Linked DNA regions of Oryzias latipes. The protein of the gene in region 2 interacts with the protein of the main gene of each other region in a pairwise test. Links are inferred from orthologs where the notes say so. Each region holds a gene or a part of one and is shown on either strand. Other genes may lie near its edges. The genes, in order: fxn and dapp1.

Region 1 (15,750 bases), on a different chromosome or scaffold from region 2:
TGCCGTGTCTCCGCCCACACGTCTGCCTTTGCCGTCTCAGGGGGGTGCGTGCTCTGTGCCACCACATCGCCACAGAACCGGGTCAGCTCAGCTTCAACAAAGGAGACGTCATGCAGGTTCTGAGCAGAGCCGACCCGGACTGGCTGCTGTGCTCGCTGGGCTCCTCGCGGGGCCTGGTTCCCATCGTCTACGTCACCCCGCACAGCATGGAGGACAGCCAGGAGGCCGCCGGCGCCACGCGGCTGTGACACGGCCCAAAACATGCGCGAGCAAACGTCCACGTGAGAGTGCATGCATCCATCCAGAACAGCTGACCTCTGACCTTTCCTCCGCCAGCTTCCTCTGCAGTGTATAGAAAAGAAATCTGTTTTTTTATCCAAACCCGTCACAGCCGTGACCTCCCGCTTCTAAAAACGCTGTGGGGGGGTCACTGCTGCAAACAAACCTCTGTAAGGGGGGGAGCTCAAGAAAGATCTGAGTGTGAGGTTTCAGTTTCGGGTTCTTTTCAGTTTCACTGCGTGTCCAAGGGAGAACTGAGGAGGTCAGGACAAACGTTTGCCCCCAAATCTGAGGAATACCGTGATCAGATGAGCACCGCAGGTCAGGAAAGGTCAGGGAGCCTCTGTTGGTGACACGAAAACCTCTGCTCCTAAAACGAAAAACTCTGTTGAAAATGTCAAAAGACCAGGCCACGCCTCTGTGGGCCAGGCCACGCCCCTGGAAACCAGTCTGGTCTCAAATCAAACGGCATCCATCATGAAGGTCGTGCCTCAGAGCAACCGTCGGTTCTGGTAGTTTGGAGCTAAATCCCCCGACATCAGAATTTACTTAGTAACCGGTGTTGGCCTTCCAAGCCGCCATTTTCACCCCGTCACCATGGAAACCGCTGCCTCTGACGTCAGACTGTGGAACAGAAGTTCCTGGCTGTCATGTCACTCTTAGCCTGAAGAGGGCGCCCCCCTCACAAACAGATGGATGGTTACGCCGTTCCAGCAGGTTGTTTTCAGATGGGGGGGGGGGGGGGGGGGGTATGAAGAATGCAGAGATCAGAGATGCTCGTATGAAGTTTTCAGTTTCATTATTGTACAGTTTTTATTTTCATCTTGATCTTCACATTTGATCTCCCAGCCTGTACATAGATCTGGTTGTGCCGTTCTCCCATGATGCTCTGCTGTCTGTATGAATGTTCCAGCTGTAGCATCCTCATCTTTGGTTCTGCAGCTGAAGGTTTGTGTCCTGAAGGAGAACCTGAAGACGCTCCGCATCACCGTGTCGCACTTTAGCACTACTCCAACCAACGACTGGATGCTCAATAAACAAGTGATCCAGCCGCCGCTGTTTCCCTCTGTCATTTTGAAACCAATCAGTGACTGTTTAAGGGAACTGGACTGAGTGGCCCCGCCCCCTGTTGTTCCAAACAGGAAGTGGGCTTCAATGGAGAAACAGCTGTTCCTCTGTCATTCTATTGGCCAGAACAAACATTCTGGATTGGATACCTTTTATCTTCTTTATCGCAAGTTATTCAAGTTATGAACTGATCAATCAGATGCCTCAGTAAAAGCATGATATGCCCGCTGGCCCCGCCTCACACATTTGACATCAGTGGAAGAAGCCGGCTCCTGATTGGTGATGGTAGTTGCCATGGAAATGTTGACTCAGACCGATTTGGACAATCGCTGCTCACTAACCTCATCTGGCTCGTGACGGCGTCGTATCGGTTTGGCTTCCTTAGGTTGGAGCTGGAAGAAAACCATTTTCTAAGGGTGACGCCACACTCGCTCAGTCCAGTTCTCTCATACAGTCCATGATCCCCATCAGCCTGAACGGTAGAATAAACAGAATACCTAAACCGTTGTTCTAACAGATGAGAGGATTTGTAGTGTTATCCTCGACCCGAGCAGCAAAAGAGAACAGTGGAGAGAAAAACCAGAACCTGCAGAACCCGAGCCCATAAGGTGGTGAAGGGGTTCTGTGTGAGAGACTGGACAGAGAAACGCGTGGATACCACTAGAACACCTGTAGGGAGAACATGGTCGGTTCCACAAAGACAAGAGGCATCAGGAGGATGACCTGAAGAACCTTGGAAGAGCGTTTCCATGGCAGCAAAGGGGAACCACTAAGATGTGGTCGTCACTGCAACAGCAAGGAAAGGCGGCATGGATCAGTGAGATCTGGTTAGACTAGAATCTGCAGAAAACAAAAGACGTGGAGAAATAATGGGGTCGTCCTCAAACGACCTGCAGCAGCATGAAGGTGAGGAGAGACGACCAGGAGGTGCAGAGGAGTCTGACAAGACAATACTGTGGGAGGAGCTAGAACAAGCGCATCCGTCATCCTCACCATGACCTCTGACCTTTTGAGAAGGTCATGGAGTAAACACCCTGATGTCTGTTCAACATTCTCTGTTTAGAAACGCACAAAATAAACGGATGTCCTCTTTGCTCCATTTTATTCAGTTTCATTACATTTCGTCAGATCGGCATTTCTTCTTCAAAATGATAAACTAAAGTCTCTGCAAACATAAATGACCTCGCACTGCCATCTGCTGGTGGAGGGCGGGAAGCTATGACGTAAGGCAGTAGGTTGCGCATGAGCAGTGAGCGTGCCGCCATGGCGCCCCTGGATCTGGATAAATACGCAGAAATCGCTAAAGTGTGTAAATACCTCCCGGAGAACGACCTGAAGGTAACGGCGGGTTCGCCTACAGCCCCGGTTTCCCGTGTGTGGGCGTGGCCTCACCTCCAGCCGGCTGTTCGTCGGAGTTTCGGAGCTAGCATTAGCTTGCTGCAGCTAACGGTGCTAGCTTGCTGTTTGGGAGCCGTTATTGCTGCTAAAGGAGCACAGAAGGCTGAGCGTTCGTGGACTTTCCGGCTTCGTAACATTCCGTCCGTTTATTTAAAGCTGGAATCGGACTTTTTACGTTAAAACTGTTTGTTTACGTTCAGAGGAGCTGCCCGATCTGCTGCCTGAAGAAAATGATTCAAAGAGCTCTTCTGACGTCATTGTGTCTATTTACCCCGAAATCTTTAAACATCTGAATGCCTTTAAAGCCAAAGCAAACCCTCTGTTTACTCTCTTCCCAAAACATTGAAGTTACCATGGAGAGTTCCCTTAGTGACGTCACTCTGGGGCGGAGCCGTCGATTATTCCCAGTGTTTTATCTCAGCTTCCGGTTAGGCTCTGAGTAGTTTTGGGGTTTAGGACTGCAGTAGTATCTTATAAAACATTTTCACAACTGAAAGTGTCAATGTTTGATCCGTTTGTCTTTTATGCTTGAAAGAAAGTAATGTGTGAGAAAAAGTTCTGTCCCGTCTTCCTGCACCGATCCGGCGTGTTGCAGATGTTCTGTAAACGATGGCAGCAGTTGTAAACTTTTCCTTCACCCGTCTGAGGCTGACGCCCCTTTCTCTACAGAGATTATGTGACTACGTTTGCGATCTTCTCCTGGAGGAGTCCAACGTCCAACCCGTGTCCACTCCGGTGACGGTGTGCGGCGACATTCACGGACAGGTAAGGCGGTCACCTGCTGCTGCAGCGTCTAGCCTCCGCTGGTCTGACTCTGTCTGTCTCAGTTCTACGACCTCTGCGAGCTGTTCCGGACCGGCGGCCAGGTTCCCGACACCAACTACATCTTCATGGTGAGTTCACGCGGGCTCCTGAGCCTTTGTGGGCGGAGCTCCTGACATGTGCTCTGCAGGGCGACTTCGTGGACAGAGGCTACTACAGCCTGGAGACGTTCACGTACCTGCTGGTGCTCAAGGCCAAGTGGCCCGACCGCATCACGCTTCTGCGTGGAAACCATGAAAGCAGACAGATCACGCAAGTTTACGGCTTCTACGGTGAGGTCAGAGGGATCATCAGCCGCTACGTAACGGATTTGCTGAGGATTTGTTTCTTCTTGCAGATGAGTGTCAGACCAAATATGGGAACGCCAACGCGTGGCGCTACTGCACCAAAGTGTTCGACATGCTAACGGTGGCAGCGGTTCGTACAAACGTTCCTTCTCTGTTTTACGTCCAGAATGAACAGGTCTGAGCTCCTCCTCACCTTCCTCCTCGTCTTCCTCCTCCCAGCTGATGGACGAGCAGGTCCTGTGCGTGCACGGCGGCCTCTCCCCCGACATCAAGACCCTGGACCAGATCCGAACCATCGAGCGGAACCAGGAGATCCCCCACAAAGGAGCCTTCTGTGACCTGGTGTGGTCGGACCCTGAAGACGTGGACACCTGGGCCATCAGCCCCCGAGGAGCCGGATGGCTGTTTGGTGCCAAAGTCACCAACGAGGTACGAGTTTCTGCTCCAGAACCACCGGGTCCACCCTGCTGACCCGAAGAACCAGCACGTCCTTTTCTAAACCTTCAATTGAACAAAATCTGCCTCATAGGGTAAGGCGGGAATCGAACCTAACAACTTCTGATGAGAGGTGTCCCTCTGCCCCACAGCTCCCCGTCAATAATATTTATGATTGATATGAATGCCACAGCAGGCGGCGTGCTGCGGGCGCCACAGCAGGCGGCGTGCTGCGGGCGCCACAGCAGGCGGCGTGCTGCGGGCGCCACAGCAGGCGGCGTGCTGCGGGCGTGAAGCTCACCCTCCCCCTCTTCTGTCCTGCAGTTCGTTCACATCAACAACCTGAAGCTGATCTGCCGCGCCCACCAGCTGGTCCATGAAGGCTACAAGTTCATGTTCGATGAGAAGCTGGTCACCGTGTGGTCGGCGCCCAACTACTGCTACCGCTGCGGCAACATCGCCTCTATCATGGTCTTCAAAGACGCCGCCACCAGAGAACCCAAGCTCTTCAGAGCCGTGCCGGACTCGGAGAGGGTCATCCCGCCCCGGACCACCACGCCGTACTTCCTGTGAGCGCGCTCAGACGGATGACCACGGTCCAGCCTCCGCCGCATGTAGCCGCTCAGAGAAAAGACTCCGCCCACATGCTCCTATTTATTCCTGCGTCTTTGCCGTTAAAGATCTCCTGCTGGTTCTGACCTGCAGCAGATTGATGCTGGCGGCGTCGCCGTTCCACGCCAAACTCGTGCTGCATTCACTGACGCTCTGGCTTTCCAACATCTGGAATCTCTTCATGTGTTTTTAAATAAACGGTCAAAAATGTTTGCAGGTCCTCAAATGTTTGTTTTCTGACACCTGCTGGCCTCTGCAGGTTACTGCAGGTACCAGACGGTCCAGCCTGAAGATGGAACCGAGCAGAACCACATTTAGAACCTTTAGAACTCAGAAACCGAACGTTCCTCCACGTTCCTGCAGCCTCCAAGCCAGGATCTAAAACATTTGGGACTAGAAGTGAAACAGGTTTGTGATAAACGTCTGAAAGTCTTTATGAGGGTTCACATTAGACAGAATACCCCCCCCCCAGGGCTGTGGTGCAGCGGGTCTAGAGGAGGTTGCTGGTTTGAGACCCGACTGGTTTCCTTCTTCCTGACGTTGTTCAGCAGAATCTGAGGATTCCTGTTTCACCTCCTGACTTTGGCTCAAAGCAACTTTCAGAAACCGACGTTCTAGCACAGACAAGAAGCAGAACCGCACAGGGGAGGAGGAACCGTCTTTTGGATCATGACGTGGTTCAGACTCGGGTCTTAAAGTGTTGATTTGTCGGCAGAGCAGAACCTGCAGAGGAAGAGGAACGCTCTTTTCCCCGTGACGCGGGCTGCTCCGGAACATCCTGGTTCCTCTGAGGTGTTCTGGGATCAAACCTGGGGCTCCTTCAGCCGACAGTGGCGGAACTCCGCAGAGGTCCGTTTCAGGAATGAGGGAGGTCCAGCAGGTTGATGTTCCTCTTGAAGATGAGGGAAAACTCCTGGGACAGCAGCTGGTGGAGGCTGACGCCGTCGTGGTAGTACAGCCAGCGCTCGCCGCTCCAATCGTAGCGCTTCGGCCCGCTGCAACAGAGAAGGAACTTCAAGACCGTGTTGCTGGAATGTTCTGTGTCATGTAGAACAAACGCTTTGGACCTACAAAGTTCTGGATGAGTTCTACCCTCAGTCCGGACCATTTAACATCTGTTCATTCAAACCAGACGCCTGACCAAAGCACCGACTAAGTGTTGAAGCCTCTGAACCATCTGAAGCCCGTAAACCCCTCCCCCCACAGGGGCCCAGATAAAGGCCACTCCCCCGTCTTTTTTTTAACCAATCAAAGCTTTCCTTCAACAAAACTACAGTCCAGAACTGATCCTTCTGGACTTCCTGTCCTTAACTTGAATAGGAATCTTAGGGCCCAATCAGGCGCCTTGGGGATCTCTTCGTGATGAACGCCCGTGCAGCGTCCCTCCATCCTGCTGTCGGCTCGTCTCACCTGGTTGGAGAAGAAAGCCAGATCTGTTTGTTGGGCGTCTGTTTATTGATGACATAGGTGCCGTAGTCTCCGCCCACCTTCACCGTCAGAACGCCACTCTGGACACAGAAAGGACCGTTCGGTGTGAGCCTCTGATCCGGTTCTGTTCACTGATCTGGTGGTGGTGTATTTTATGGATTACTGGAGAAGCGTCTGTGTGTGACTCACAGAAAAAAGCACGTCCAGCTCTTCTCCAGCCACGTCCTCATCAGCCAGGTCCTCGAAGAACTCGGCCAGAGCGTCCAGAGTCTCCTCAGCCAGCTTCTCATAGGCGGCTTCAGACAGCCGGCTGTCACACAGAGACAGGGGTCAGCCACTCCACCGGGGGCAGTAGTGAGCCACAGCTACCAAACTTCTGCAGCATCTGCCTTCCTGCCTGCTTTTCTTCTCCTGAACTTAGCAAACTTCAGCCGTCATTTCTGTGGGCGTGTCCAAATTCCAGGGCTGCGTCCTCCAGCGGCCGGCGACGTTGGTGGGTCGGATGTTTACAACTGTGAATTTGGACGAGTTTAACCTTTAGAGAAATTCAGCCGTTACCTTGGCGAATGTCCTGTTGCCTAGCAACCGTGAGTAGTGAACCAGGCATGGAGCTCAAAATCTACCTGGCTTAACTTTTAATCTTGCAGTAAGTCTAAAAATTAGCTCCAAGTCCAGGTTCCGCTTCACAGTCCGCCATTGTTGTCAAAAAATCTCCGGGCTCGGCCGCAATGCATCTTGGGATATGGACAGCATAGAAGGATTCCCCAGACCAATCCTTGAATTTAGAAAAAGGCCGTATCCGTTGGATTTGGACCGCACTTGTCGCGGCGCCGTGACGTAAGCGACTTCAAATGCAGCCAGGAAGAACGCCGCCCTGAGATTTGGACACAGCCGTGGTTTCCACAACCCACCACCATCATCAATACTTTACCGTCCCGTGAGGGACATTTGTCCTGGGCCGAGGAGCCCACAGCTACAACACAGAGCGGAATAAACAACAGCCAGAGGCCGTTCTGGACCGGTACCGTTTGTTCATGGAACCAACACCTTCTTATCTCGGTTGGTTTCATGTTCAGCTGCTCTGAAGCAGATGGCAATAATTCAAAGTCAGAAGACAGAATCTGAGATGGATCACTGAGGATCTCATGACCCAGACGTGTCACGGAACACACAGATGGAGTTTCCCGTGTACCAATGACCTTCATGGCTGATTTCACCGTGTTGCCACTCCTGTTTTGGTTTGGAACAGACACACAGACCGTTTGGATGATGCCTTCAAGTCCTGATGAGTCAAAGGTCCACATCATCGGCCGCTGACACCAAAGAAACTCAGACGTGGTCAAAAGTGCCTCCTTTGGGCCAGACGGGCCCAGAGAGAGTCAGGGTTCCAGTTCAGCAGACGTTCCACCTGTACTCCCAGGTATTTAAAGGAGGTGAGCGTTTCTATGGCGATGATGTTAACGGTTCTCAGAGATCATCTCCTTGGTCTTTTCTCACTGAATGTAAGATGATAGTCGGGGTCGTCTGGAGAGAAATTAGACTCAGTCGGATTTGTGCATAAATTTGGATTTGTGCGTGATTTGTTACTCACATAATCCGTTTTGTGTATAAGTTAAATATAGGAAAATTCTAATGACCGAGCATTCCACTGGTATTTAAACGCAGCACTTACGGACGAATTTGTGAGACGTTAAAACAGTCTCAGGGTAGATCCGTGCGTAACTTTGGCTTCGTGTGTGCGTAACAAGGGATTCGTGCGTGTTTTTTAAAGATGTGTGTGTGTGTAAGTAGTTTCAAGCTGTTGTAATCTTAATTTGTGCATACGTAAATTGCATTTTGTATTTTTTTAACTTATACACAAAACGTATTATGTGAGTAACAAATCACGCACAAATCCTAATTTACGCACAAATCAAGAATTACGCACAAATCCGACTGAGTCTAATTTCTCTCTATAGGGTCGTCTCTGAGCAACGGACTACAAATGTAGCAGTGACTACAAAAGATCCTTTTCTGCTGTGTCATGCTAACATTAGTAACCCTTGTTCTATCCTAGGCACTTTAACGTTGGGAGATGGGTCATCTAGATCAGTGTTTTTCAACCTTTTTTGAGCCACGGCACACTTTAACCTTGACAAAAATCCCGCGGCACACCAGCATCCAAAAAAATAGATAAATAAAATAAAAATAAAAAGTTCAGTCTGTATTGATCTACAGTCCCTCCACAATCTCACATGCATTTTTGTGATAATTGTTGCAGAAAACGCTGGAAGCTGCAGCTGTTTTTCTTAAAGATGTATTAAAGATTAAGTCAAAAGATTCAAAAACTGTTTGATGTGTGTTCGTTGTTTTAAGACGTTAAGAGGAGAGACTCATTGTGCGCTAAGACAGTCACTTTACTGCATCATGGGAGATGTAGTGCCCGTAATCCGCCGACCGCAGAAAGACCAGCGTCTTTGAGCTTCATGGTTTTGTTCTCTTGTTCCACAGTCTGATACCAGATTCTGTGGAAAGCTACACCGCTAAAGACGAGCTTTAGCTGGTATTTTTGTTAGAACAGAGACTTTTTTGCGCTAAATCGAAACAAGGAAGTGAATACTTTAACCACTTCTGATTGGTCAGACTGATGACATGTGATTAAGCCTTCAAGAATGATTGGTGGAGACAGTTAAAGGGGCGGGACTTTTCCTTACACACTTATAGCTGCAGCTAAATCGCGGTATCCCGTCATTCTTATCAAAATGTCTTTAATAGAATCATATAAACACAAAGAAAAAATAATTTTATGATATTTCAAATTCTTAACTTCTCAGTGTTCAGGGCCTGTTTGGATGAACAAAGAGCTGATTTTCTGGAGATGGTAATTGCTTTTAGATCAGTTAATGAGGGCAATTTTTCACGGCACACTTGACCATCTCCCACGGCACACTGGTTGAAAAACACTGGTCTAGATCCACTAGACAGTTGGGTCATCTAGACCCACTAGACAGTGCTCTGAACCTTTTTTCTTCAATGATTTGTGATCTTCACTGGTGTCCATGGATTACATGAAATCTTTCCACCTTTATCCACCTTTGTCATGGTAGGGAGAACACCTCAATGGAAGGGGGGGTCATCTAAGATAGCACAAGGGTTAATAATGATCAATTCTGGCTTTCAATGACCGCAAAGCATTGTGGGATTGGTGGCACTCGTGACCCCTCCCACCACGCAGAGTGACCGCAATTTACCTGACCGGGCCCGGTTCCCCCTGACTCCGCCCCCCGGGGCTCAGGTGAATTCCTCTGGACAACAGCCAGACCGCGTGGGCCGGTCTGGCGGTTCTGTGTCTGCGGGTCGGCGGTTCGATTCCCGCCCAGTCCGGCGCTACGGCGGAAGTCGGGAGCTGGAACAAAGTCGGGATCAGAGTTTGGTTTCAGCTGCACTGTTACGTTAACCGCGGGTTACCTGCTGCCACGTGACCATGCCTCTCCTAGCGGACCGCGGAAACACCTTAGCGGACACGCGCAGCGCGCTGCCGCTCAGGAACATGATGAAGGTGATGAAGGTGAGGCGCAGCAGAGTGTCACCGGCTGCTTCTGCTCTTGTTCGTGGGTTTAAGGGACCCAGAATCCGCCTCACCGCCACCTGCTGGACGGAACCGGAACCGCAACAAAACACAGTAAAGAAAGATCAGATGAATGAGTTTACTACAAAGAAACAGGAAGTGGCATGGCAGGTCAGGACTAAAGACCTTTAGAGTCTTCCTCCAACCGAACAGCCAGAAGCTCCTGACGGGACTCTGCTCCAGGAGGATTTTCCTTCCTGGGGAGGGTGATACTCAGTCATGGGAGCAGAGATGGAGTTTCCTCTTCTGAAAGGCTGCCGGGGTTCTGGTTCTGCATCACCCAACAGTACTATCGGACTCCGGCCCTGTGGTTGAACGTTCATCCCAGCAGCTAGGACTCTGCTGCCCTTTGACCCTCTGAATCAACAGGGGGGGGGGGGCATGTGGGACCCTGAACTTCATCCCAGATCAAACATTCATGTTTGGACTCAGACATGTCTCCATTTAGTAAAGCAGAAAGAGTCTTGCAGCGTCTGCTCCACCGCCACCTGCAGGAGGAGGCGTCTGACCTGCGGGAGGAGGCGTCTGACCTGCGGGAGGAGGAGTCTGACCTGCGGGAGGAGGCGTCTGACCTGCGGGAGGAGGAGTCTGACCTGCGGGAGGAGGAGTCTGACCTGCGGGAGGAGGCGTCTGACCTGCGGGAGGAGGCGTCTGACCTGCGGGAGGAGGAGTCTGACCTGCGGGAGGAGGAGTCTGACCTGCGGGAGGAGGCGTCTGACCTGCGGGAGGAGGCGTCTGACCTGCGGGAGGAGGCGTCTGACCTGCGGGAGGAGGAGTCTGACCTGCGGGAGGAGGAGTCTGACCTGCGGGAGGAGGCGTCTGACCTGCGGGAGGAGGAGTCTGACCTGCGGGAGGAGGCGTCTGACCTGCGGGAGGAGCTGGCCAATCAGCTGCTGCTCTGTGAATGATTGGCGGAGCGCTGAGAGACCTGCTGCCGCCTTCCTGCGGTTTGCAGACGCCATGGCTCAGCTGGTGGAGTGTGTCCCCAACTTCTCCGAGGGTCGAAACCAGCAGGTGAGACGCACCGCCACCCGTCCAGACTCGAGAGGCCCCCCCCTCCTCGCCAAACTCTCTGATGCTTTTCTCTGTGAACCAGTAAGAAACCGTGGAAATGTTCTGATTGGGTCCAGACATCATGTGGGGGGGGGTCCATGAGCGTTCTCATTTCATCTGGATCCTCCAGATTCAGGAACTACAACCGTTAAGGTTCTGCAGGTTGTTGGTTCTGGTTCCTCCGCTGCCAAACTGGGTTCTTGGATCCTCAGGCGTAGCCGAATGTGGAATCAGAACTGAAACTGAGCTGGAGGTAAAGTCCGGCTTCACGTCCAGAACCACTGCAGTTCTTCTCATGTGGGGGTCAGAGATCCCTCCAGACGGAACCAGAAGATCAAGAACCTCATCATTCACTGTAGAACTTCACTGCAGGATTCTGGACTCTAGAATCCTTTCAGGGTTCCTGCCGTGAGTCTGGTGTTGAAGCAGTTCTCCTCCTGTACTCCCTCTGTTCTCCATGTTCTCCTGCTGTTTTCTCAGTCAGATGATTCTAAAAGGCGGAGCTTCAGCACAGATAGAACCATCGTTCTGCTGCAGACGCTCTGATGGGACGGGCTTTGGACTTCTCCGTAACCTTTGACCTTCCTTTCTGGAGCTGCTTTCCCTCCTCTGATCCATCTTAGCGTTCAGGTTTAGCAGAAATTCTGGTTTACCGGACCAACCAGCAGGAAACTTCCTCCTAGAAGGAGGTTGAAATCCAAACTGACGAGCCGGCTCAGCTCACCACTGGTTCTGGTTCTTTCTGCAGCACTGGAGTTTTTTGCGTGTCACCAAAGACTAACGTTCTCTTTTACATAACTAGAACAGCGACCCGGACCGGACCGGTCTTTGGAGGAGCGGGCCTCCTGCTGTGTCTGTGAATGTGTAACACCTGTCAATCATTGCTGGCCGTCTGACCGTCAGTGGACTTCATCCTCTTCAGGTGATCGATGCCATCTCAGCGGCCATTTCCGGCACCGCGGGCTGCAGCCTGCTGGACGTGGACCCCGGCGCCTCCACCAACCGCACCGTCTACACCTTCGTGGGTCCCCCCGATGCAGTGGTAGAGGGGGCGCTGAACGCCGCCCGCCAGGCCTTCAGCCTCATCGACATGACCAAGCACTCAGGTCAGTCTGACCCCCCCGTTCAGGCCGCCGTTGCCCAGCAGGAGGCGCTGAAGCTGTGTTACCTGCTCATCAGGTGAGCATCCGCGGACCGGAGCGCTGGACGTCTGCCCCTTCATCCCCGTCCAGAACGTCACCATGGACGACTGCGTTGGCTGCTCCCGCGCCTTCGGACAGAAGCTGGCGGACATGCTGCACGTTCCAGGTAAGGGGGGGTCCAGCACCAACGCGTTGGTCATTGCCCGGTGTCCAATCACATTTCTCCCTGGTCTTGGGGGTAAATCCGCCTCATCCAGGCGTAGAAACCCAGGCTGAATTTGATCTGCAGCCATTGGCAAGACTCTGAAAGAGACACCAGGATGCTGTTCCACATCTCCTGTGCATGTCTTTGGAGCCAGAACCTCAGAACCCAAAACCCAGCAGTAAAATGAGCCGTGCTGGTTTCTGACCGTCTGTCTCATGGTTCTGATCCAGTTTTTCTTGTGTTCTTCATTTTTCTTTCCAGCTATTGTGACAGAGAGACTCTTTGGATGTTATTGTGATTACGGCCATCAGTCATGATTGGCTTGGACTTCTGGCAGCCTGATGCAATTATTGGCCATAAGCGGCGCCCTCTTGTGTACGGGGGAACGTAGAGCCCCTTCCACCATGGCGTCCTCGACCCTCAATGCCATGTGAAAAAATATACTACAAGTGTTAAAACATCCTTGCAGCCTACAAGTACGGCAGGCTTGAGTGTCAGTGAACTGTGTGGCTGTCTTACCTGTTTCTGGATGAAATGTCTGAAGCAACAGTATTTCTGCTGAGATTTGGTTGACCTTTTGACCTGCTTCCATCAGTCAGTCCGTGGTTTAGGTCGCGGTCAAGAAGTGTTGTACAGATTTGTTGAGTCAAATTTGGTCCTCTGCGTCTTTGTTCAGGTTGGAGCAACTCTTCAAGTCCTCCTCCACCTCCTCCTCCTCCCATTCTCACATTTCTTCTAGCTTTCCATTTTTCAATGATACAGGTGAGCTTACCTGCTGCCTTTTACAGCACACCTGAGTGCTGCGTGTTCAGATCAGCACACGTGTGCTTCCACACCTTGTGGATCCAGTTGTGTTCGTTGGGAGTCCAGCTTTGTAATGAGGAGGAAGTGACCTCACAATCCTGGTCTGTTCAAATGTTTGTGTAGTTCCACTAATGATGTGGAAACAAGCATAACACATTTGAACGGATGAATGAAGAAGCCTTTTCAGTTGGACTCGAATCCTTCCAGAGGAACAACAGGAGGTTGGAAGGAGGTGTAGAACAGAAAGGTTGGCTCCTCCTATGGAGACCATGGACTCGGGGCTTTGAGGCTCCCTGTGGTTCCTCCCAGAGGAGCAGACGTGCCGGTTCTGCTTTGGTTCTGAGGCTCTTTCTCCTCTTAGTTTACCTCTACGGAGAGGCGGCTGGCACGCCGGCAAGGAGGGCGCTCCCGTCTGTGCGTGCTGGAGAGTACGAGGCTCTTCCTGACAAGGTGAGGCTGGGAAACCTGCCGCTTCACGTCTTCAGGCTTCATTCCCGCGTCTTTTCTTAGCTCAGTCGGCAGGAATGGACTCCCGACTTCGGCCCGGCCGCCTTCGTGCCGTCGTGGGGCGCCACGGTGACCGGCGCGCGGAAGTTCCTCATCGCGTACAACGTGAACCTGATCAGCACCAAGGAGCAGGCTCACCGTGTGGCGCTGGACATCCGGGAGCAGGGCCGGGGCCAGAACCAGGTGCATGCTGGGAGTCAACTGCTGTTAACTGTTGTTCTGTACAAGATTCCACAAACTTCAGGAATCTTTCCTGCTGAAGAGATTCCACTGACGGGCTGTCACCATGGCAACAGAGGAGACCTGATTCCCATTGAAGATCTATAAAGGCCCAATAGGGCGCCACCTGCAGTCAGACTGTGGTTATAGCGTAGGTTCATTTTAGGAGCCCTTGGTGGCTCTAGTTCTCTAGTGCCGTCAGTGAGCCCCCCCACATGCAGGGTAAAGGGGTGTGGGGGTTTCTGGACATGGACAACCTCAGGGCTTCCCGTCCATCTCCAGACATCTCTGTGCCGTTGTGTCCGTTATCGTTAGAGCCGTACATCCATGACATGGATAACCTTTCAGTTCTATGTAGATAAAAAGAACAGACTCACAGATGAGACAGAACCAGAACCTTTTGGTAAAGAACGGCTCGGCACTGATGACAGAACCGAAACCAGGTATTCAAAGGCTGCCGAAAGAGGGCGGAGCTTCTGGACGGCTTGACCGTGAGAATGTTATCATGACGTCTGGTGAGTCCAGCGTCAGAAAGCTGCTTCCACCATGACCCAAATCCCACGGTTCAGAACCCAGTCCACCCTGAATCCCATAGAACATCTGTAGAAAGTCTCAACACAGAACTATTTAGAAAGGAGTGGTCCCACATTCCAGCAGACAGCTGTCAGAAACTCCGTCGTGGTGACAGGAAGTGGAAGAGATTGGGTTCTGCTGACCCGCTTCATCCCGCCTGAGTTTAAATGAGAAACTTTTGCAGATAAACTGTTTTCTGACCCAACAGCCAGGCTGCTGGTCTTTCTGGTCATGACTGCAGATGTTTGTGGATAGAAGGAGGTATAGATGAGTGAACTTGCATCTCCTCCTCGTGTCCTCCTCGCTCAGCCCGGCCTGCTGAAGAAGGTCCAGGGGATGGGCTGGTACCTGGAGGAGGCCAACATCGCCCAGGTGTCCACCAACATCCTGGACTATGAGGTGACCCCCCTCCACGCCGTGTATGAGGAGGTCTGCAGGGCAGCAGAGGTGGGTGAGGCGTCAGCATGAGGTGGTCCAGGCTTGGGCCTCAGCTGCTCTGTGCCGTCTAGGAGCTGAGGCTGCCGCTGGTGGGCTCTCAGATCGTGGGTCTGATCCCTTTGAAGGCTCTGCTGGACGCTGCTGACTTCTACATTCACAGAGATCAGCTCTTCATCCTTGAAGAGGAGCACAAAGTCAGACTGGTGAGCACGGAACCGTGTGTGGAGACCCGATGAGCCGCTCCGACTGACAGAACCGCATGTTCTGGCCCGCAGGTGGTCAGTAAACTGGGCCTGGACTCCCTCGGCCCGTTCAACCCCAAGGAGAGGATCATAGAGTGAGTCTGATCGCCCACGCAGGAGCAGAAGGAGCGGGAGCTAAAGGTGCTGCGTCCTACATGCAGGTACATGGTGAAGGGGCAGGAGGAGGGGCAGCTGCGCTCGTTGACCCTGCGGCAGTTTGTTCACAGCGTTGGAGCTCGAACGGCGGCTCCGGGAGGAGGATCGGTCTCTGCTGCCATCGCTGCTCTGGTGGGAAATTCTCAAAGTTCTGACGGCGTCCACATCCAAGTCCTTATCGTCATCTTGCGTTTTACCTGTAGGGGGCGGCGCTGGGGGCCATGGTGGGGCAGATGACCTATGGGAAGAGGCAGTATGAAAACCTGGACGGAGTGATGAGGAAGCTGATTCCTCCTCTTCATCGGGCCATGAACGACTTCCTGCAGATGGTGGACGCCGACGCGTCCGCCTTCAACAGCTACATGGTGAGAACCCAGAACCTTCCCGCACATTCAGGACGACCCGGTCTGACCCAAACGGCTGTCGTGTTTCTGCAGGCGGCTCTGAAGATGCCAAAAAACACGGCGGAGGAAAA
Region 2 (15,936 bases):
GCCTCAGCCACATGTGGAAGGAGCTACCGCTAAATGTTTCCTGCCTGGTCGCGACATGGAGCGGTGTCTGCGGGTCTCATCCTAATGCATGGAGGATGTTTAGAGCAGTGACGTGCGCTGAGGGTTGTGGCTGGTGAGGCAGATTTACAAACAAATGAGAGGCCAGTACAGGTCATTTTAGAAGTGGAGAACATTTTATGTGCCACCCATTGTATTTCAAAGAATCCACAAAAGAAATGCTTTCTAATTATTCTTACATGTCTTGAGACCAAATCTACAGAAACTACGAGAAACGAGTGCTTGAAAATAGTTTTGAAAAGAACAAATCAGTCTGGAGTAACCCCTGAAAGGCCATTTTCCCTTGTTCCCCTCCTAATGTGTAAATCCAATTTTAAACAAAAGTTCAAATTAACCTGAAAGTTATTTTTATGGTGTTGTTTTATTGAAGCCCCCAACTGTGTTAACATTTGTTTCCATGTACAAAAATGTCAAATGATTATCCAAGGAACATGCGTCCCACAGCATGACCCTGACCCTATTATCACAACCTTTGTTTTTAGCGACACATTGATCCTACTATTGATGGATATGTAGGAGGCAATCAGAAAAGTGAAGGTTTACTTTTTTATGCATTTTGATGCCCGACACGACACACCAAGGTGAATACCACTGACTATAACAGTCAGAACTATCGCACGCACACGAGTCGACCTTTGAATTATTTTTTTTGAGATTACGTCAGCCATTTTCCAGTCAGTCAAAGCAAAACAAAATACTGGCTCTTATTAAATAAGACAAATGGAAAAACAAATGAAAGCTCACCAGCGCCTTCTCTGTTGAGACAGTGCCACTGCGTACTCCATCGACTATGTTTGGGATTGCTAAGGGGTTGCCTTTCCAAATCTTGCAGTTGCTATAGCAACCCTTAACTAGCCCCCTGACACAAAGAAACCAGGAAACATCTAACTGAGAAGAAATAAAATGATCTACTACCATCATGATCACAAAGGTTTTAGTAAAATTATGTTTACAAAGACCCTTAGCAAAAATAGTCCAAGTGTACTACAAGTCTGTTTAAATATTATAAAGTAAGGCAGTATACTTGAAGTTGACCTTTATATATACTACCTATGTATTATAAACGTAAATGACTTCCAACACTACATGTACATAGTCTTGGTGTACTTTTACTTTTACTCAATTATACTTAATAAAACAAACATTAAGTGTCGTACTTCCTGCTAAAGGAACAGTTGGTGGTTCAAATCCCAAACCCAACCCTCAATGCTGACACAGGTGTGAATTTGAACCCACAGTCTCCAGTGTCAGGGCAGACAAACAGACCCCTAACTCAGTCCAGGTTATTCCAATAAATCAGTTTATCTTCAGTGTGTTTTTTTAATTATGGTCTGTTTACACGAGTAGCTCCTGGAAGAGTTTTCAAACTACAAGGTTGGACATCTGTGGAGAAGCCCTGCAGTCACTTCATCAAATCCACAGGAATGTTTTTCTGCTTCAGGAAGCACAGGCATTGTAGACAGACTTCAGGAGGAGGTTCCAGAAACCATCGAAGCTCTTCAGAGGGCTGGCATCAAAGTGTGGGTCCTGACTGGAGACAAACAGGAGACAGCCATCAACATCGCCAACGCCTGCAAACTTCTCCGCTCCAGTGACCAGCTGCTGACAGCCAACTGTGATAACAAGGTCGGAGCAGGTCAAAGCTGGTGTTTGGGTCATGTTCCGGTGCAGGAGTGCACCCAAACACCAGGCAGCATGCGTTTGATCATGTCAGCATATAAGTGAAAACCACACAGCTTGCATGCTCCAAAAAATGTATTTTTTTCATTTTGAGTAAACCCAAAATATCCATATTTGTAATGACTGAATGAGGCAAGACTTGAGAGAGTGTGCACAAACCAGAATGTGGTCATCCTGCAACTTCATGTCAAAGCAAAATCCAGAGCAAGAAAACCCTCTCAGAATCAGTGGGTTGTGTTTTGTGGTGTTAAAGCAGATGCTTTACACAGATGTGCCTGTGGATGTTCTGTCCTGCAGGACGCTTGTGCAGCTCTACTCAACGAGCTCATTGTGGAGGTCCAGTGTGGACAAGAAGGTGTAAGCGAACAGAGAGAAGACCCGTCTTCTGGATCGACTGGCTTCATCCTGGCCATAGATGGTCGGACTCTGGACTGGGCTCTGCAAGAGGACCTGCGGAGCAGCTTCCTGGAGCTGAGCCGCAAATGCAAGGCCGTCCTCTGCTGCCGATCCACTCCACTGCAGAAGAGCAAAGTGGTCCAGCTGGTCCGGGACCATTTAAGGGTCATGACCCTGGCTGTGGGTGAGGCTACAGACCTTTTCACCAATTTATATACTCAGCAGTGGAAAAAAGTTGCATTTATAAATCTCCAGTTTACTGTTAAAGTCATGTAAAGGTTCAGAGACATAAAACATTTACTGGCAGTCTCTGCATTTCCAGTCAAGTTCACACGACTGTCCCAGAAAGGATCTGTCCTAGTCAGCCTGGCAGAAAACAACACAGAAAAAAATCTGGGATCCTATTTGTTTGCCTTTCACCATGATATAAATAATAAGCAGTTTAGTGAGATCCCCTGTTCTGTGTAGCTCTAACTGTGTCTAATACCATGACCAGTACCTAAGGACCTCTGACCTCAGACATGGTTTAGCCACACAGCTGCAGGCCCGTTTACCAGGTGTGAGGGGAACTGTTGGGTTTCCAGACAAACTATTCATAACCGACTTCACCGCTTTGACTGGAATGACAGACGACCATTGCTGGTGATTCTGCTGGATGTTTGCAGTGGACACAAGACCACGTGACCTGGACATTGACTCGTTAAAATATCCGTAACTTGTTGTGAGTTGTGTAAATTCAGTCATTTCTGTGGATCATGAAGGCTTCTGTCACTCCCCGCACTAAGAGTACATGAAGACTGTTTGAGCCAAAGCCGACGCAGCTCATCAAAAGTCACAAAAACACAGAAGATTAGATTCATCTGTATTTTTCTAGAACTTACTACCAAACAAAAACTTATGTTGTTTGGAAAGTGAGGGATGAGGTTTACGGATGTGGAGAAGAGTCCTACAGTCTGTGTACGAATGTCTGACGAGGTTTGCTGCACAGGTGATGGAGCCAACGATGTGAGCATGATCCAGGTGGCAGATGTCGGCATCGGCATATCCGGTCAGGAGGGAATGCAGGTAATCACAAAATGAGGGGGTGTTTACTTTTAAATGACCCTAACCTTGAGTTCCTCCTGAGCTCCTCACCAGCATGTCTCCTTCTCCAGGCTGTGATGTCCAGTGACTTTGCCATTCCCCGGTTCCACCTCCTCAGGAAGCTGCTGCTGGTTCATGGACACTGGTGCTACCATCGCCTTGCAAACATGATCCTCTACTTCTTCTATAAGAATGTGGTGAGTCCTTCGTGCACAGATGACGCAGAGCTTCCTCTTCTACCAAAATGTTGTCTGCGTAGATGAAGGTCACTTTTTTTGAAGCCATCCTCATCACCTCATCTGGAGATCTATTTTCTAACCCTGGAAATGAATTTCAGACTCATTTTTTTTAACACCCCAATCGTCTCCCCAATCTTTGAGTCAATATTATTCTACTTATTGAAAAGTCTTCAATGCAGGTTCCAAAGTCTTCTGCCTGCCCCCCCCCCCATATAAGATGTTCTATTTCCACCACTGACCTAGAGACACCTGATCCAGCTGATTCACCATGAAAACCTGCAAGCTGCTTGGTCTGAAGGAGCAGAATTTGGCGCCTCTGGTGTCAAACCAGTTTAAATGTCGATTTAATGTGACAGAGCTCATTCAGTAACAGATTCCCTAAGAAAACAGAAGTGCAGTCTGACTGAGTCTGTGCGTCCACAGATGTACGTCAACCTGCTGTTCTGGTACCAGTTCTTCTGTGGTTTCTCTGGGAGCGTCATGATCAACTCCTGGGTGCTCATCCTCTTCAACTTGCTCTTCACTTCCGTCCCTCCTCTCATCTATGGAGTTCTGGATCAGGACACGGCTGCAGACGCTCTTGAAGAGCATCCTGAGCTGTACCAGACTGCACGCTCCTCCAAGGTGAAAAAGCTTTCTTAAGCTGCCGCTGTCTCGATGGCTGAACTGTTCCGATGGGTTCAGGGTTCCTCAAAATCTCCTTAGAGGGTTTTTCTCAGTAATGTTTCACATATGACACCAAGGCCAGATATCACTGCCAGAATCCTGACAGAATACAGATTCAAACAGAAATCAATTACATTTAAAAGTCAAGTTTCTGTTCTTTAACTAATTTCTTTGGGGAAAAAAGGGTTTTAATATACCAAGTGATTTGAAGGTGAACATTTCTTCAAAACGATTTATAATTCTCACATTAAAACTTAACACAAAGGAAACGATAGATTTAGAGAATTAAAGAATTGATGTTGCAGATGAATGGGATTAACCAGCCCTGCATGAGTGCAGAACAACATGCTGAATTCATTAGTTACAGAGTCCTCCGGTTTGGAGGCCTATGGATGGATGGATGGACGGACGGACAGACGGACGGATGGATGGATGGATGTGCTTTTGATGCTTGGAGGCCATTGGATAGATGGATGAATGTGCTTTAGATATTTAAAGGCTGACTCTGTGAATTGATCCACAGGTCTACGTTCCCTCCATTTTCTGGATCACAATCCTGGACGCCTTCTACCAAAGCTGCGTTTGCTTCTTCATTCCTTATTTTGTGAGTATTCTGCAGCGTCAGTGAGGGTCATTGCATCGCTGGTTCTGATCCAAGTCCATCTGTTCTGCTTCTCCAACCAGGCCCTGGCAGGGTCAGATGTCGAAAGTTTGTCCTTTGGCTCCCCGATCAACACCTCAGCTCTCTTCATCATCCTGCTGCACCAAGTCATCGAAAGCCACACGCTGGTCAGGATCTGTGGAAGCCAAGTGGTTCTTGTAACGGGACCACAGTGCTGTGATGGACCAGAACCCAGATTTCAACCAATCGTGTGTTTCTTTCTGTGTTGCAGACATGGATTCACGCGCTCGTCTTGTTTCTCAGCGCTGCCTCCTATTTCGCCTTCGTGCTGCTCTTCAGCACCTTCTGCATCGTCTGCAGCCACCCCACCAACCTGCTGGGGGTGGAGCCTCGGCAGCTGAGCACACCCCTCTTCTACGTCATCTGTGCCGTCACCACAGTGACGGCCCTGATCCCCAGGTACAAACACACACTGATCTGTTTGTTCATGTGATCACTAAAACAAAAGAAACAAACTAAATGAAATAGAAAATGTTTTTTTCATGACATTTTCAAACAATCCATAAAAAGTTACATTACTTGAAAGCTAAACCATAAAAGGAACGTTTTAACCCTCTTTTCATAGAAACAATCAGACATAAATCAAAAGAGTACACTGATGCAGTTTGAATTTTAGTTTAATTGGGTCAAATTGATATTTTGTGAAAAGGATTTCGTTTAACTCACTGGAGCACATTGGAGAGGAGAGAATCAGTTTGGCGGACAGAAACTGGAACAGGAGGAGAATCATGGAGGGTTTGGGACAGAAGATCACAACCTGGCCTGATTGGTGGCTTAAAGATGAAGAAGCAGTGATGTCATAGAAGGCAGGGTCAGGGTGATGACATCATCTGACTCACTGATGCTGAGAATTCAGCAGCTTTCTGTGCTTCAGCGGTTTTTCTGTTAACTCCTCCTCTTGACACGTATAGTCTGGTGTTTGCTGTTCCCGTTGATGGACCTCCTCCTGAACCTCTGGGCTCTGCTTTGCAGGATTTTGTTCCGGTCTCTGTTTAACACCGTGCACCCCTCCGCTCTGTTGACCAAAGACCAGAGACAAGAAGCAGCTTCAGAGTCGTACCGCAGGAGGATGCAGCGCTGGAACCAAAACCATGCTAGAACCGGGCTCCCAGTGTGCGCCGACAACCCCGGCATGGTGCCCAGTCGGGAGGAGGTGCTGTCTTGACCATGTGGGTTTTCGGTGGCCCCTCCTGCCTGCCGCTCTTAGAACCAAAGCTGGTCTGGACTGTCCTCATGAGCGGCAGGGAGGATGGGAAGCTGCAGTCCAGGATGAAGCGCGCTCAGGCGGGCCGTGTTTACATGGCTGTCAGCTGTTTGACTGTTACGATGACGACCCGCCTCTGCTCTTGTTTACTCGCCGAGCTGGACTCCATGAGGCTGCATGGTGCCGAGGCTTCGGACTTCTTAAAGCGCTTCAATAACATTCTAGCCAAAGTGAAGATGATCAGGACAATGCTCAAAGAGTGGACACCGTTGTTTTTTTTTTTTTACTTTTATTTGTAATAACTGACCATTTCATGTTTTATATTGTTGAAGTTTGTTCAAATCAGATTTCATCTGTCTACTTTCTGAACCCCTGAATCCCTTTTGGGGGTCAGAGGGCTGCTGGAGCCTATCCTGTCTACGGTCCTGTTAAATTCAGGAACGAAACCAGGAAGGTTCTGATGAGACGGCAGGGTTCTGATGAACCTCTGAGCCAGGCATCAGTGCCCATTCTCTCAGGAGAAACCGTGAAGTGACCTTACCACTCCATCATGCACAAATGCTGCAATAGAAGTTTTTAGTGGAATAATGGAAGTTACCAATCATCAATGCTTTTGCAATAAACAGCTTTATGAATTTCACTTTTGTTTTTTGATCATGTTTTTTCTGACACAAATGCCTTTGAAGAGCCTTAAGTGAGACACAAACATCCATCCATCTTCTTCTTCTTCTCATCTGGGACCGGGTCGCAAGGGCAGCAGTCTAATCAAAGATGCCCAGACTCTCCTCTACCCGGCCACTTCCTCCTCCGGGGGGACCCCGAGACGATCCCAAGCCAGCTGAGAGACTTAGTCTCTCCAGCTTGTCCTGGGTCTTCCCCGGGGACCCCCCCAGTGGGGCACGACCAGAACACCTCCCCAGGGATTGTGTCCAGGAGGAATCCGGACCAGACACCTGACCTACCTCTACACTGTCTGGAGCTTTTGCCCCTGGTAGGGTCTCCCATGGCAGACAGGTCCTGGGTGACGAGCCAGACGAAGAGCGGTTTAGCCCTTGTGCTATCCTATGGGGTCAAGATGACCATTGACGTGTTCTCCCTACCATGACAAAGGTGGATAAAGGTGAAGAGGATTTCATGGAATCCATGGAAACCAGTGAAGATCACAAATCATTGAATAAAAAAGGTTCAGAGCACTGTCTAGTGCACATGTCCTGCATGTTTTCTAACCAATCTATCATTGAAGCTCCTGATTGGCTAAACACACCTGATCCAGGAAATTAGCGGCAAATGAGACAGGATTTCTGAAAAACCAGCAGGAGGTCGGCCCTTGAGGCCTAGAGTTTGACAACACTAGTCTAGTGGGTCTAGATGACCCACTCCCGATGTTAAAGTGCCTAGGATAGCACAAGTGTTATATTCACCTTTCTAAGAAGTACAAGATTCCACTTGTGACGCTCGGATTGGTGTCACCGTGGCCCCACCCTGGAGCCAGGCCTTGGGTTGGTGGCCAGTGCCCCTCCCCACAGCCCCTATTGGGTCCGGCCTGAAGAAACGGCGTGGGATCCCTCTCCTGTGGGCCCACTATTTGCACGAGAGCTCAAGTAGAAAAGCCTTTGGCTGATGTTAAAAAATTGGATGAAAGGTCTCAGATTTCCTACTAAAACTGTTGGTTCTGAACTAAACACAAAGTAGAAAAAACTCCATTTAAAAATCAATTAAAGATCCAGTTCAATAAAAATCATTTTTTGGTTTTTTTAACATGTTCGTGTTGCATTATTCTGACGATGGAGGACATGTATAAAGAAAATTAATTCATCCATTAATCGTTACGCGATATCAGAAGCAGACAAAAAAATGCATTCTGATATAGAAAGATTTTTGACAGAAAATCTGCTGGGCGGGGCCACAAGCTTCCTGCTCTGCTCCATTCTGATGCATCCACCTGCAGTCAAACAGATCCATGTACGTCTTTGTTTTCCTTCGTCTGAGCTGGAATCTGGATCTAAACTCTACGGCTGGATAGCTCAGATATTGCTGCCATTTTTGTTGCGCTGGAATGTGAGGGGCTGTAAGCTAGCGGGAGAGGGTGTAAACAGAGAGCTCTCAGGAAGGGAGGGAAGGGGCGGTCCCGCCCACAACTCAGAGGTGAGTTTCTAATGAACTCTGCTTTGGGTTCACATCTCCATTAAAGCACTCTTATCACCGAGCTTTTCTCAGCACGTGAACAGACATCCAGGAAATTTCCCTGACTGCTTTGTTGAAACAGGAAACAGTAGTATTAGGTCACCATACCCCCCCCCCCCTACAGGACTGGATGAATTGGGGGGGGGGGGGGGGGGTTCATGTCAAATAGATAAAAATAAACAAAGGAACATTCAGAGAGTGAACGGACAGAAACCGGCACAACCGGAACGCAGGTGTGGACCGCAGCTGACGAAATGTTGGGGGACGGGCTTCACATAAGCTCCTCCCCCTGGCATTCGACCAGACTTGAGTTGGTCACGCAGTTCACGCGCCGAACCATCTACATTCACCCGCGGTTCTGGTCGCGGACGGAGATCCCTGAGTCAGTGCGTCTCGGCGGGCGTGTCCGTGATTGACAGCTTTGACTTCCGGTCCGGCCGAGCCCCTCATCATCATCATCATCATCATCATCATCTTCATCCTCATCATCATGAGCGTGTACAGCGACGCGTCCTCGGAGGATCTCGGGGACGAGCTGCAGAGTCTGGGGTGAGTAACGCGTTACTCTCCCCCCGCTGAAGAAATCCGTTACAGTTTAGCGTTTCTGGCTTTGCACGCGGTGCTTTGAGGAAGCAACAACAGAGTTGGTTCATCATTAACTTCTGCTGCAGGAAGAAGTGCTACCGACCGTCAGAAGATGACGGTCCTCTCTGTTGGGTTTTCCAGAACCGCTGTTGTTGGTTGTCAGTCAGAACTTTCCTGAAGGAAGTGGACACTGAAACCAACCAATGAAGAACAGTCAGAACCCTTTGGAAAGCAGATGATGAAACTTCAGGTCTGAAGTGATGAAACCCTTCACTTCATCTTTGGTTGACCAACTTGAGTAACTGGAGAGAGTCCTGCTCCTGTCAGCAGATGTTCTGGTCCACTCCTCCAGAACAAACATCTCAAACCGTCTCAGCTTGGTGGACGGGTCTTTCTTGCAGGAGGGATGCTTCCTGTTTTTGGACCATTGTCTTGTTTGATCCCTGAAGACAGACTCCAAGCGTTCGGACATTTGGCACAGACTCTGACGTAGCCCAGACCATAAAGGATCTCCCTCCGTGTTTCACAACAGGAACCGACTGACGTCTTTTCTCCTTTCTGAGTGAACCAAGGGCTGTGGGAAACAGCTCTGGCTTTGTGTCACTCGTACAAAGGACGGTCTCCCATAAGAAAATTTTCTTCCAGCAGCGAGTTCCTCCTTGGGGACACTGTAAAAGTTTGGCTCAAACATCTGATAGTGGATCTGACTCTGATGACCTTGGTGTAGACCAGGGGTCTGCAACCTGGAGCTCTCTTCAGCCAGAAAGCCATACTTATGGCTTATGGCCTTCACTTATGGCTTTCTGGATGAAGAAAATAAAAACAATTATCATTTTATAAGAGAATTTAAGTTTAGTCTGTTAGACTTAGAAATGTATGGCTAAGATAGTTCTATAACATTGTTTTTAGTCGAGAGACCTTGTATGGAAGCGTTTCTGTAGCATAATTTAAAAAAAAAGTCACTACAGAAATGCTTTTCATTTTCAAGATGAAGCTGCTTTTGTTGACTCAAAATGAAAATGAAAAAGCAAATTGGCTTTTTCTTTTTCCTCTTAATCAAATGACTCAGAAATAAATTTAAAAATCCATCTTTCAAAATGCGTTTTCATTTTCTACATCGTTGTTGCGCATCTTGTGACATAAATAAAGGGAAAATGCAAAGAGGGGATTGCATTTTTGCTTCCATATCCCCCCGCAAAAAGTGTAGCAGAATTCAATCTAAGTCGACATTTCCAGGAGGGAGGGGGGCGATGACGTCAGTGCTAACTCTCTGTGGCTCGATGCGCTGCGCGAGCGAAGCATGTCTCTGGTCAATGCAGCCGGACTTGTAGCTTCGTGTTTGAGGCAGGGGAGGCTGCTTTGTGACAGTGGGCGCTCTGGAGGACGCTTTGTTTGTCCGGCTGTTCTTCGTGAGCGAGGTGCCGGACTCGGGAGGACCGTGTCTCCTCGCAGAGCAGCACCTTCGAGTCTGCTTTCAAAGACAGAAGTGCCGCTTCGGACAGTCCTGAGAAACCGTTCAAACAATCATGTGAATTTGTGTTTCCAATCCGGTCCAGACAAAATAAATGCTGGTCCTATTCCCACATATTTCGGCATTGGCCACACAGAATGTTGTTGGCACGTAATATTCGCTTAATCCTACTCCTTCTCCTGAACCATATGATATTTTTTACATAGACCCCATAAATCAGGTCCCCTGGTATTATTATGTCCCTCTCGGGTTAATGCGGCACAGCCAGCTTTCAAACTTGGTCAGAGAGAGATGGAAACACTGCTACAGCAGCCGCCATCAAGGGAGCTGAAGCAGAGACTTTCTCTGGGAGAATCTCACGAACTCAAACATGGAATCAGGATGTATTCAAAATAAATAAACCTGATCTCTCAACATTCTCTGTGTCTTCCATGCATTGTAATTGAGATAAACACAGACACTGCTCCATGTAGCAACCAGGCTAAAAACTTTAGCTGGTAGCTCCTCCCACACGCGGCCTGGTGCGTTCACGGAGCTCCAGTACATAGAAGCTTAGCGGAACTCCAACAGCCACACATATTTCCATGAGAAAATAAAAACCGCCGAACCGACCGCAAAGTCGCCCAAACTATGCATAAGCCATTTTTAACCGCAAATTTAGAACCAAAACGAACCCAATCTGGCGAACAGCGCAGACAAAGAGTGAGCACCTCCCCTTTGGCCCCCCCTCCGTCCTGGAAATGCTGACTGGAATTGAATTCTGCTACACTTTTTACGAGGGGAGGTGCAAACGATTGCATTTACGCTTTATTTATGTCACAGAATGTGCAATGTTGATGTAGAAAATGAAAAAGCATTGTGAAGGATGGATTTTTAATTTTATTTTTGAGTCATTTGATGCAGTTTCATTGTGAAAATAAAAAGCATTTCTGTTAGTCTAATTATAATTGTCAAATAAGATATTTGTAATGTAATTTTGCTACATATTCACTAGAGAACTTTTTGAAAATCAAATGTCAAATACCATTTTCTTTATCGTTTTAATTAAGAGACAAAATGAGCGGTATTGAAGAAGAAAGAAAGTGGTTTGGCGGATTGTTTTTCATTTTAATTTTGAGTCAATGAATGCAGCTTTATTTTGAAAAGGAAAAAGCATTTCTTGTATTGACTTTTATTTTTAATTATGCTACAGAATCGCTTCCTTATATGAAATAGCACCATCCCTCATTTCAAATGCAGAGCAAAGTCTTGGGGAAAAATTTCATCTTTGAGTTAAAGCGTACCTTTAAAACTATTTATCTTACATTGTTCAAAAACGTTTAGTGGCTGTCCAGAGGTTAATGAGAAAAATATGTCTTTGTACTAAATACTTTTTGTATTGGATCTTAAACTAAGAGAGTCCTCATTAGTTAGTAGGGGAAATGACAGCCCACCAAAGTAGATCTATATCTAAAAGAGAGGAAATGGACTGGTGTTTTCATTCAAGCACATTTGCTGCAGCAGATGTAGCTCAGGCTGTCTTACTGTTTGTTATAGGAACTCATCTGTGCTTTTGTCTTGTAAAAAACAATTTTATTGCTAGAACAGGGTTCTGCAACCTTTACCCCTCAGAGCCATTTGGATCAGTTTCCCAGAGAAATGAAAACACAGGGAGCTGCTACACCCTTTGGAAAAGCTGGTGTTTCCAGGGAACTGCATCATTTCACTCACTTTAAAAGTTCTTGAAGAGATGTTCATTTTTTATCCTCTGTCTTTTAACGGGTTCTGATGAGAACTATTTCCCCAGAGGCCTCAAAACTAGCAGATATGTGGTCATTAACCAGCAGATAATCCGCTTCTCCAATAGATTTTTGCAACAAACAACTATTTTCTTATCTGGATCAGGATGTTTTTGGGCTAAAGCTTCATGTTTATTATGGGATGTCTCACCACATTTGAGACTTTGTTGTTTGCTAATTCCTCGTTTCATATGAATCATTCTGGTAAAGTCGCTGAAAGCAAACATATCTGCAGGTGCCGTTAAACCTACTGTTTTCTTCAGGACATTCCATCCTTGTCCTGCCTGGGTCAGAACATTGTTGGGATCACACGTTGGTGGGAGTCGTGGCGGTGACGCAGGTCGATGGTCACACAGAACTTTACTTAGAAAAGTCTACCTTTAGATTTGTAATACTCAGCCTGTTAGTTTTTTGTTTTGTTTTTTAAAAGTCATGTTATGAACTTTTCCTGTTTACCGCTGGCCGACCGTAGTCTCCAGCACAGGGGAGCTGCTCCATGGACGAGCAGCTGCCCTGGTTCTGACCCGCTCCAGGGACGATCAGCTCACCTGGTTCCGTCCCGCTCCTGGTTCAGACCTGCTCACAAAAATACAACAGCTGGTCGATAGACGACCCGGAGAGGTTCTGCATGATGAGTAGGGCTGCACGATATGAGAAAAACCTGCGATTTGCGATATTAATGATCAATATTGCGTTGACGATATAACTTGCGATGCATGAAGAAATAGCAAAACAATCATTTACATCATCATTTACATTTCGTTGTAACAGTTTCATTTCAATAAACGTAAGTCACCAGTAACACCATAACTTAAATCATACTCCAAATGACCCTAATGTACAAACATCGAACATAAAAGATATCCATCAGCATGAAGGGATTTATTTGATTCGTTAAATTTTTCAAGGTGCCAGACGGTTGTTTTGGCACATTTAAAGTTACCATTTATCGCAATTTTTGTCGTCTTTTGCGATATGCACATACCGCGATAAAGATAAATTTGTGCAGGACTAATGATGAGGCTTTCATTCACTTCTCATTCAACATTTTAGGAGAACTTTCCATCCCATAACTGACTCTGGTCCGTGTTCTCAGCCGAAGACCCCCCCCCCTCCAGGGGATGAAAGAGCGGCATGCTGCTCCAGAGCCGCTAGAATAGCTTCTCTTCATTTTGCCAAGTTTTTTTAATGCTTAAGAGGCAAAAGTTCAGTTATTCTAATGATAAAAGAAAAGTACAAAAGTGCAGAGATGGTTACTCATTTGGTTCAGGAAAAGCCGCCCTGAATGGCTCTTTTTGGTGTTGAAGGTTGCAGACTCCTGGCGTAGACCTTAAGTCTTTGGAGATCCATCTCAGTAGTTTTGTGGGCGTGTGCTTCAAACCCAAACTCTGCTGCAGTTTCTAAGCTGGATCAAGCGTTAATGCAAGTGAAGAGCTTTCACTTCCCTCTGACTGTGCAGTGAAGCTCCGGATTTCTTCTAGAACGGGCACCCCCCTACCCCCCATATAGTAAAAGAACAAACCACCAGATTCAAATGACTCTGACTCAGGGCTGCTTGATGACTTCTATTGAGAAATAAACAGCTGTTACTCATCTGTGAGAGTAACCATTCTTGCCTGAAGCTCCCCTCACCGGGTTGGACTCTGTTGCCTTTAGAACTGCCTTAACGTGCCTAGTTTGTTCCATATTGTCATGACAGCATCATGCAGTTTCTGCAGATTTGTCGGATGTACATCCATGATGCCAATCTCTGGTTCCACCACATCCTAAAGGTGGAAGCCCCCTCCCTTGCTCCATTCTGATCCATCCACTTTCAGATGATTAGATCCATTTGCGTCTTTGTATTCTTTGTCTGAGCTCTAATATTGCTCGCCATTTTTGTTGCAGGGGTAATTTTATGTTGGGTTTGTTAGAGGCTGTAAGCAAGCAAGAGAGCACGTAAACAGATAGATGATGGGAAAGGGGGATGGGGTTGCTCCACTCAAACGGTCCTTCCCACAATTCAGAGGTGAATTTCTAATGATCTTCTCCCGTCCTGCAGAATATATGACATAGAAAACGACACAGGTCTTTAGATTTTGGCTAAAAACTGCACAGTCATGATTAAAAGAACACTGGGAACACTTTGAAAACAGTTCAAAAGATGATCAGAGTGGGACTTTTAAGTGATATTTATTAGGGATGCAACAATTTTATTAACCTCTTGAGACATGAGCTATTGTTTTATATGCTTTTTTAAACCTATTTCATAGTCACAGGTGATCAGAATGAAATACAGTTGGGGGAAAAAAGTGATGTCGAGCTATCTTGGGGTTAAATCTATTTAATGGTGTAAACTTCTGTTCTGTTTTGAATCCAGAATTGGGGCATCCCTAATATTTAGACATTTAGAGAAGCAATGGAGAGATGGAAATCATAAAAATCTTGCTCATGTCTTTGATATTTTGTCTATGGATCAGAATATAATTAAAGCATTGTCTGGTTCTTGTAGTATCCTCTAAAAACCAATAACTAAGAAGAAGGGTAGACCAGGTCAGAGAGATTGTGTAACTAAATTCGTTTTAAAAGCAAGAGACACAGCAAAATTATGGCTTCTCACTGGGAAAACCAATCTTTGAGCCAGAAAGCGTTACCAATGCACAATATAAGCACACAACACGTTGTATTTGTAGAAATGGTCAGGCTATGAGAGCAGCCTCCATGACCAGGAATCTCCTTTGTCACAACACACTAGACCTCTGGAAAGAAGTACTACCTCTGGTACAAAAACATCTCCATGTGTCATGGAGGGAGTTTCTGGCACTATGGCAACAACTATGCAGCAATAACAGTAGAATATTTAACTGTGTACAGAGTGAATTATTTAGTTTTTTATCTTAATACCATTGATATAATCATAAGGCACGAGGTCCAGATACAATATCTCCAGATGGTCAAGGGATTAAGCCGCTGGGCTTGATGGTTCATCTACTGAGGACCTACAGTTTGCTAGTGCAAATGTATTTCTACTAGTTTGATGACTTATCTTGGTCACAGATTTTTACTATGGTAGCTGCCGTGTTGGTTTCAGTGATAAAAAACATGGCGGTGTCTGTATGGTGGAAAATGACGAGTGAATTGGCTATTTTGTTAGAACCAGAAGTGAGTCATTTTCAATGGCTGACGTCCAGTTCCTATGTACAGTCAGTGGGGGCTTTTCTGGGTTGGAGGGGGACTCTGTCAGAGTGAGAGAAAGTCCAGATTATCTGCAGTGACTTCAAATCTTTGGACTACAGTCCATCCTGCTTGGCTGCTGCTGGAATTTGGACTCGAGGTTTAAGAAATGTTTTCTGTTTTTTTTAAGAAACCAAGAACGACCTCTGAAAAAAAAAAAACCTCTCCTGTAATCTCAGAGTCACTTTGCATGAGCTCGTTTAGAGTTTGAAGCTGAAGCTGGTCCATGAATCTGCTGGTTCTCCTTCATTCAGCCGCTCTATTCTGGTCCAAAGTTCAAATTCTTGTGGTTAAAGATTGATTTTTCTGAAGAGCAGACTCATTTTGGTTTCTTAGGTGTGTCTAAAATGTGATGGAGATCCTGGGGGCAGAATCAGATCTTCAGACTCTGGAGGCATTTTTCTGTTCCATTCTGAACCATCAGACTCCTCCATTGAATGCTCATATGCCGCTCCCTGTCTACTACAGGTGGTACCACTACGACCTGTCCCGCCACGCCGCAGAGGCCCTCCTCCTGTCCAACGGGTTGGACGGAAGTTATCTCCTCCGGAACAGTAAGGAGGGTCCGTCCTGCTTTGCCCTCTCTGTCAGGTCAGTGGGCTGCTCTTTCAGGTTCAGCTTGAACTGGACATGCAGAGACTCTTAGGCTCCTGCTGGTATTTCTGGATGAAAAGGAC

The links.
Region 1: the proteins of dapp1 (region 2) and fxn interact in binary tests that used the Homo sapiens proteins (3 or more experiments, as listed by UniProt). The link is inferred for Oryzias latipes from reciprocal best matches to the Homo sapiens genes DAPP1 and FXN.

Annotation. Positions count from the first base shown.
Region 1 is NC_019867.2:421,973-437,722, reverse strand, and holds fxn (frataxin, mitochondrial), read right to left. Parts: upstream 10,163-15,750; 5' UTR 10,063-10,162; intron 9,957-10,062; 5' UTR 9,861-9,956; coding exon 9,777-9,860; intron 9,715-9,776; coding exon 9,560-9,714; intron 6,640-9,559; coding exon 6,519-6,639; intron 6,410-6,518; coding exon 6,312-6,409; intron 5,897-6,311; coding exon 5,758-5,896; 3' UTR 5,318-5,757; downstream 1-5,317. Other genes in the region: iporin-like, read left to right, coding at 41-248; serine/threonine-protein phosphatase 6 catalytic subunit, read left to right, coding at 2,590-2,685, 3,415-3,510, 3,573-3,638, 3,698-3,839, 3,905-3,984, 4,074-4,283, 4,614-4,862; ftcd (formimidoyltransferase-cyclodeaminase), read left to right, coding at 10,897-10,950, 11,912-12,095, 12,169-12,297, 13,502-13,590, 13,651-13,830, 14,749-14,886, 14,949-15,080, 15,153-15,214 and 3 more.
Region 2 is NC_019880.2:24,363,676-24,379,611, reverse strand, and holds the start of dapp1 (dual adapter for phosphotyrosine and 3-phosphotyrosine and 3-phosphoinositide), read left to right. Parts: upstream 1-8,429; 5' UTR 8,430-8,702; coding exon 8,703-8,761; intron 8,762-15,727; coding exon 15,728-15,850; intron 15,851-15,936. Other genes in the region: atp10d (probable phospholipid-transporting ATPase VD), read left to right, coding at 1,520-1,704, 2,056-2,338, 3,143-3,219, 3,309-3,434, 3,900-4,100, 4,666-4,746, 4,827-4,931, 5,036-5,223 and 1 more. UniProt on the Homo sapiens protein: May act as a B-cell-associated adapter that regulates B-cell antigen receptor (BCR)-signaling downstream of PI3K.